Coturnix japonica: one gene and its partner. The protein of the gene in region 1 binds, or shares a complex with, the protein of each later gene. Links are inferred from orthologs where the notes say so. Each region holds a gene or a part of one and is shown on either strand. Other genes may lie near its edges.

The links. The genes of interacting proteins can lie anywhere in the genome.
Region 2: the proteins of RAF1 (region 1) and RAP1A are in contact, whole or in part, in a crystal structure (PDB 3KUC), measured with the Homo sapiens proteins. The link is inferred for Coturnix japonica from reciprocal best matches to the Homo sapiens genes RAF1 and RAP1A. Residues at the interface, in NP_001341619.1 of Homo sapiens: Thr57, Arg59, Asn64, Lys65, Gln66, Arg67, Thr68, Val69, Val70, Lys84, Lys87, Val88, Arg89, Gly90; in NP_001010935.1 of Homo sapiens: Val21, Gln25, Ile27, Val29, Asp33, Pro34, Ile36, Glu37, Asp38, Ser39, Tyr40, Arg41.

Annotation. Positions count from the first base shown.
Region 1 is NC_029527.1:3,320,150-3,323,796, forward strand, and holds part of RAF1 (RAF proto-oncogene serine/threonine-protein kinase), read right to left. Parts: intron 3,043-3,647; coding exon 2,924-3,042; intron 2,098-2,923; coding exon 1,966-2,097; intron 1,602-1,965; coding exon 1,467-1,601; intron 629-1,466; coding exon 488-628; 3' UTR 1-487. UniProt on the Homo sapiens protein: Serine/threonine-protein kinase that acts as a regulatory link between the membrane-associated Ras GTPases and the MAPK/ERK cascade, and this critical regulatory link functions as a switch determining cell fate decisions including proliferation, differentiation, apoptosis, survival and oncogenic transformation.
Region 2 is NC_029541.1:3,373,806-3,377,493, forward strand, and holds the start of RAP1A (ras-related protein Rap-1A), read left to right. Parts: upstream 1-849; 5' UTR 850-970; intron 971-3,688. UniProt on the Homo sapiens protein: Counteracts the mitogenic function of Ras, at least partly because it can interact with Ras GAPs and RAF in a competitive manner. Together with ITGB1BP1, regulates KRIT1 localization to microtubules and membranes.

The DNA of each region.
Region 1 (3,647 bases):
TCTTCTTCCCTCAGTCTTGTTTGCAGATTTCCCATTTCCAGCAAAACTCCCCTGACGTGAAGCGGCATGGGGCAATCAGAGAGCACCAGATGCATCATCTTGCTTTCCTCAAATGCCAGGGCAGGTCATCCCTGCTGTACAAAATACCAGTTTATCAGCAGATTCAAATCAACCCAGAAACACTGCCAAAGAAACATCCATCTCTTCGGTGTATGGGAAAAATAAGGCTCAAGTGCATCTATTAAAAAAATAGTAATAGACCTCTTGATTTGTAGTCTGTTAACTATCCCAGTAGAAGAAACTGTAGAAAAAGGCAATGTGGAGCTGTGTCCCTGCAGGGTAAGGACTGCAAACATCCTTAGCAGCTTGTTCTTAAATGGGGATGCGGATGATCCTGCTGGCACTGATCCTGTACACTGAGGCATTAAAAGCACAACTTCTGTTCCTTTCCCATCAATGGAGAGATTAAAGGAAGGGGAGCACAATCCTAAAAAACAGGCAGTCTTGTGGATGTTAATGTGCAAGAATTTATGTCCTCTGTATGGGATGCGCGGTGCAGAGATGGTTCGGAAGCACTCCGGTTGATTTTGGGTAAAGAATGTTGCAGCAGTTCAATGGAAGACAGTATCTGAGTGAAAGACATAAAATGAGAAGATGACATGTTAGAAAGAGCCATTTCTTTTCACCTAAGTCTTCAACATTCATTTCTTAGGGCTTTACCAGTATCCATAAGGGAGCAATGTACTACGTGGAGACTGAAAACAATAGGATTGTCCCAGTTTGAAGAATCCAACTCTGCCACAGAGTTTCATTGCTGGGAGGACATTCACTGGGCTTCAGGGGATAGACAAGTACTTCTCAGTTAAGAGTTCATCAATAAGGCAATCAAGAAGCAAGCATCTATGTACTCTGCAACAGCGCAGCAGGGAAAGAATGGCATCTTCCTCCTAATGGTCTCTTTAGAACCAAATTTAGAAAGAAGCCATCAAATAACAGCAGTTGTACTTAAATGTAACAGTAACATCTTAAAAAGTGCTGCAATTCAATTCCAGGTATTTTAACAGAAAAGGTCAAGTATCCTTTGTGGGGAAAAAAAATAGATAAAAATTTGCTACAAGAATTTAAATCCCCTCCCTGAATTTTGCTTGCTTGTACAAAGTTGTGGAAAAAAATAAGGAATGGTCTTGACAGCAAAGTGCTCTGAGAGCAGCGTGGTGTCCAACAATGCTTCAGTCAGGATGGATGTTATTTTAAAGTACTTTGAACCTGAATCCTCTATATCAGCATTAGGATCCGCTCAAGGGAGCTGGGTTATTAAAGGTGGACTTATGACCAAACAACACCAGGAAGCATGCTACACTTAATTCCTGCATCTACTCCCAGTTTCTAGACCTGTGTCCACTTAAGGTGTTCTGTGTGGTAATGGCTATTTATCAAATACTTACATGATGAAAAAAGCCACTTACTTGTGGAAACAAGGGTCTTTCTTCCCTAACTTTCTTCAAACAATCTGCTACGAGCCTCTTCATTGCTTTGGGGCAGTTCTTGTACAACTTGCTGAGATCTGGGGAAGCATATCCTCGGCCAACCATGAAAATAATCTAAAGAAGAACAGCCAGTAAGTAGCAGAGAACTCAAACCACAGGAGCTGTGTCACTCATTCAAAGCTCTGATGTCCCAAAGTCACTAAACATCAGTGAGTGCCAAAGCCCAGCACAGCAGCAGAGCCTTGTGCATTTGTCCAGATCAGTTAACGGAAACAACTGCCTTGCTTTTGTGTAACGTAGAACCTAATTAAATCAGAGCGACACAGTGGTTTATAATACTCCCAAGATGCAAACATTACTATAGTCTGAAAAGAACAGTTTTAAGTTCATGCTCTACAGAAGAAAGCTTTAAATAATGAATTAACTCTGCCCTAACATTTAATACTGCAACATGCAGCATGAAGTGGCTGTTTCTTACCTGGTCGCGGTTGTTTATGTGGGAGTAGGGCAGCTCTCCTGTCATGAGCTCATACAGTACGATTCCATAGGAGTAGACATCTGACTGAAAACTGAACGGATTACTGTCCTGCATCCGTATCACCTCTGGTGCCTTTACAAGGAGAAAAGCAATAAGCGAAAAGTGGTATTAACAAGCTAGGAAACAGAAAAGCAAACAGGAAAATGGAAAGCCAAGAGGAGTCAATCATTACTTAACAAAGGATGGGAACCTCAGGTTCCATCAGTGCTTTTCTACATCTTTCTTACTAAATGAGCAAGTGCACATACAGCGTATATGTAGATAGACATACAATAGCACTTCCAAAGAACCCTCAGAAACTTTCCTGTATGACTTGAGAACTTCCATAAAATGGAATATAAATGCAACATAAAATGACATCAATCTGCAGCAGTTCTGAGCTGCCTCAAAGCTTGCCAGATCAGCAAGCCTGCATGAAGAGATGCTGCCAGATCCTGAGCAGGGAGCAGAGGAGGAAGAGACAATGATGAAGACAGCCAGTGAAGACAGGGCTCACTCATCCCACAAAGCCTGTTGAGCAGATTCAAGGCAGCTGCTTCCCTTCCAGCTGAGAAGAGCCCTTCTGGGGAAAGGTGGGATGGCTACAGGAGAAAGGCTCTGCCCTTGGAACAGTTCCTTGCAGTTCTTCTGACAGCTCTTGTCAGCCTTTGCCATGTATGTTAGAACTCAAAAACTCAGGAGGAAACACTGCAGAACAGTGTCTACTTTGGGGCAGTTAAGTGCTCCATTCTTCAATTTTAACTTATCCTATAATTGGACTAAATGTCTGCATAGTGCTAACAACGTAGGTTGTCATTTAGATGTAAAGATCTGTTAATAATACTGAATTCAACCAACAAAACATGTATTAACTGAGTGAAAGCAAACTGTTTACACTGCAGTAAAATACTCTGCTCACCATCCACAAAATGGAACCAGTGGGTTGCTCCACCTGCTGCGATCCACTCCACCTGGATTTTACAGTTGCTAGACCAAAGTCTCCTATTTTCACTGTGAGGCCTTCATGAAGAAATATATCTAAAGGATTGTTAAGGAAATTCTATAGAGAATTTAAATGAACACATCTGAATTTTCTGACATGATTACAAAGTGACCAGTTAGGGTTATCAGGAATCCAAGTCAGCCATCCAGTATTGCTGGATACAACTTGGGATACAAGTTGTATCTCAGAGAAGTAATTTCATGGCATCCATACGTACAGAGCTCACAAAATGTAGGTATACAGTCTGTCTGCTTAATACTCTATGTTCCTTCTCAGGTTTAAATTAACATTTATGGCTTTATTTATGCCAGTCATCTCAGGATGTTTTATATTTATTAAAATCATAAGGGATACAGCATCGGACACATATGCACACATATCCCTCATCGAACAGAAAGCTTTTCTCCAATACACTACTTGGATAATAGAGACATTATAACATCACTACTAACACTATTCTAATTCACTAAGTCACATTTGGAAAATGACTGCAGCTTCTCTTATTGTCATCTTCATAACATCAGGTTGGTAGGTAAGCATATGCCTTTTTACGAAAGACCTTGTTAAAAGTAACTTCATATTCATCAAAAGAAATTACTTATTTTTGTTACATGCATTTAAAACAGCTACTTCACACACA
Region 2 (3,688 bases), on another chromosome or scaffold:
GAGCTGCTCCAACCCCGTGCACAGTGCAGTGTTGAAGCACTGTTTACTTTTGATTACAGCAGAGGACCGGAGTGGGACTTTGAGCCGTGCTGCTGATCGCATGGAGATCACAGAATCATACGGAATGACCCGGGTTGGAAGGGACCTCAAGGATCATGTAGTTCCAACCCCCCTGCCCAGCAGGGCCACCAAACATACACCTTTACTAGATCATGTTGCCCATGGCCCCGTCCATCCTGGCCTTGAACACCTCCAAGGACGGGGCATCCACAACCTCCCTGGGCAGCCTGTTCCAGGGCCTAACCACTCTCCTAGTGAAGAACTTCCCCCTAACATCCAACCTAAATCTTCCCTCTTTTAACTTAAAACCATTTCCCCATGTCCTGCTATTGTCAGCCCTTTCCAAGAGTTTAAGGGAAGAGTAAGTTCCCTTCAGGTATTGAAAGGCTGCAATGAGGTCACCCCGCAACCTTCTCTTCTCCAGGCTGAACAAACCCAACTCCCTCAGCCTGTCCTCATAGGGGAGGTGCTCCAGCCCCCTGATCATCTTCCTGTCCCTCCTCTGGACCCTTAACAAAATCTCCATGTCTTTCTTGTACTGAAGGCTCCACACCTGGACACAGTACAACAGATGGCGCCTCACAAGAGCTGCGTGGGATTATGACATAGAATAGCAGAATTCTTTGGGCCCTGCCCAGCACCGAGGGACACACAGAGCTCAGGGCCGCATCCTGCCTGTCTGATCCACCGCTCACATCCCACCCAGCGCTACTAATGTGGCCCCGATAGTGCAACGTTCGTGGTTGTTATCAGCCCCTACGGGACGTTCCACCTCCCTGAACTCCTCCGGGCCGCCCCTCTGGTCCCCGCCCGCCCCTCTTGGCCCCTCCCCGGGCCGCGGCCGGCGCTGAGGGCGGAGCGGAGCGGAACGGCGCCGCGTACAGCGGCCGAACGCCGAGCGGAGCGGAGGGTGAGCGGGGGAAGGGAGAGAGCGGAGTGGGGTCGGGAGGTGGGCGGCTCCGGGTGTTCAGCTGCACCGGGACGGCGGTGGGGACGGGGACCGGGGTTGGAACGGAGCGAGTTGGGAGCCCGGGCCGCGGGGAGGGCCGAGGCCGAGGCGGTGTCAACAGCGGCGCTTCCCGGCCCGGCCGTCAGCGCTTCCTGCCCGCTCCGCAGCCGGGTTGTGCCGGGGGGAATTCCTGCCTCGCTGTTCCTGTTCCGAACCGAGCTCCAAGGGCCCCTCTACGGCTTTATAACAGCGTTCTATCAGCTGTTGTTTCATCTGCAAGCGTTTGTCATCGTGTCTGTTGGTTCTGTACTTGGTTGGACCTGATTGGGTTCGCTCTGTGCCGCTCTAATGCCCCCCCCTGTGTTAGTGGGGTGCTGGAAGTAGGGATGTGTTTCATTTTGGGGTTACTGAGGCCATAAGTGTGAATGGAGGCACAGCATTGAGTCCATGGAGCTGTCAGCGTTGGGGCAGTTCTTGTAACTCACATCAGTGACGTTGGCTGCTGTGTCCGAATGGTGCTCTGACATCACACCATATTGCTATGGCCGCTTCCCTACGCCAGAGTGCTCACATCGTGCTGCTATGGGAAAGATTAATGTTAAAACATGCAAATATTGAAGGGTCCATTCATCCAAAGAAACACCTTTTGATGCCCAAAGGCCCAGCTGTGTGTTCCCATGGAGGTGATGATGCTGGTATAGGGATGGCACTCCCTGACATCAATAGGTTCTGTATGTGGAGTGTTCACCCCATTAACCCTCGTGTTCCATGGCCCCAGGGACGAGCTGAGCCCTGGGAAGGCCGCAGGGTAAGGAGCTTTGTGAAGATTTTGAGCTTTGCCAACCAGGGACTGAACTGCTCCGTGTCGTGCTCTGACACACTAATGCTTTTATTTGGAGTTTCCAAACCAGCTTTTAACCGGGATGGTTTGTATTTGAAACCATAAACTGAGCTTCGTTTTGTGTCCATCCCATCTGCACTTAGTCTGAGCGTGGCTGCATGGCAGTTCTGCATGATCAGCTCGGATGGAGGCATGAGTTTAAAACTGGGTCAGGTTTGGGTTGTGTTTCAGCCCTGATCAGGTTTTGGGGTTTTTTTTTGTCTCCTTTATTTTGAATGGTGAAAACGTTGGTGGCTGTGGGCTCAGAGCAGCCGGGATCACTGTGTGCTGAGCTCTGCAGCACTTATTGATTCCCCTCTTGCACAGATTAAAGGCTGCCGTGTTTGCTCTGTAGCAGCATTAACGATTCAGCTGTGATTGTGTGTGTGCGTTCACAATGTCAGTAAGTTACTCTCAGCTCACTGTTATTCTCTTCTTCTTTCTTTAGTGGAAACGTTTCTTGTTTTTATGGGACCAGGGGTTGTTTAGCAGGGCTGTAATGAAAGCAACTTCTTACAAACGTCATCAAGTTCAGTCTCTTTTGCTTCATGAAAACAGGAAGGAACTTGGAAGGTTGGATTCATTTCAGTGCGTGCAAGTGATAAATGTAATTGCTTAGTCCAATAGGAGAGAGACCTTTTCTATGAGTCAGGAGCCTGGTCGGTACCATCTGTGTCTCCATCACTCAATGGGGAAAGAAAGTCCCCATCTATTAAATGAAGAGCTGCAGAAGGAAAGCCTTGGCCGTGCTTCCTAAAGGCCACAGTGCAATGCAGATGATGCTCAGAGCAGCACAGCAGGCAGTGCACCTGATTGCAGGTGAGACCGAAAGCATCAGTGTTATCTCTGCCTGCACTGCAATAGCCACAGTGCTCCACCACAACACTGTGCTGCTTCTCAATGCAGAGCAGCAGAATTGCCCAATGAGGCTGTGGATGCCCCATCCTTAGAGGCTTTCAAGGCTGGATGTGGCTCTGGGCAGCCTGGTTGGTGACCCTGCACATAGCAGGGGGTTGGAACTGGATGAACACTGTGGGCCTTTTCAACCCAGGCCATTCTATGATCCTATGAGAGATGAGTGTGGATAGGAGTGCAGGCGGCGTTTTGATCTCTGCTCTGCTGCAGGCAGCCCAGCAGGTCCTGGGTGTTAGGAAATACCGGCTGTACCTGAACAGGCACTGCCTCGCAGCTGTGGTGGCCTCACCTGAGCCTGGCTGAGGGTGCAAGTGGAACTCTTTGGATTGAGAAACGCCAACCAAAGCAGAGCTCGGTGTGTTTTGCTGTTTGTTTGTTTGCCTCTGATGAGCAAAGCCCTTTGTATGGGGGGAGCTCTGAGCCTGCGTGGGGTTGGTGATGTTACTGGGCACGCTTAGGGGCTGCTGGTGGGGCCTGGCTTTCCTCCCCCCTTTCCTTTTGTTTAGCTGAAAATATGGGCGCCAGGCAGTGGCTGTGTGCTGGGCAGGTGCTCTGAGTCACCACTAGCTGTTATTTATTTTCAATATTGATAAGATGGAAAAGGGTTTAAGTCCATCTAGGCAATGAAATGAGAGGTCTGAGTGCATCTGCAGCCGTAGCTATATTGTGGCTGAAGCAGATTTGAGGCTCTCTTGGAGTGTTTGGACCGATGGCTTCAATCCCAGGGGTGAGGGGAACCGAACATCACCCCAAACACATCCATTGGAAATAGACCCTTAACGTGGAGCATTCCAGGCATGTGGGAAGAGCAGTCGGGCTGGATGTATTGGTTGCACTGCCTTTTTATGTTGCTTTTCATGTCATATCCTTTCCTCCAATGCAAA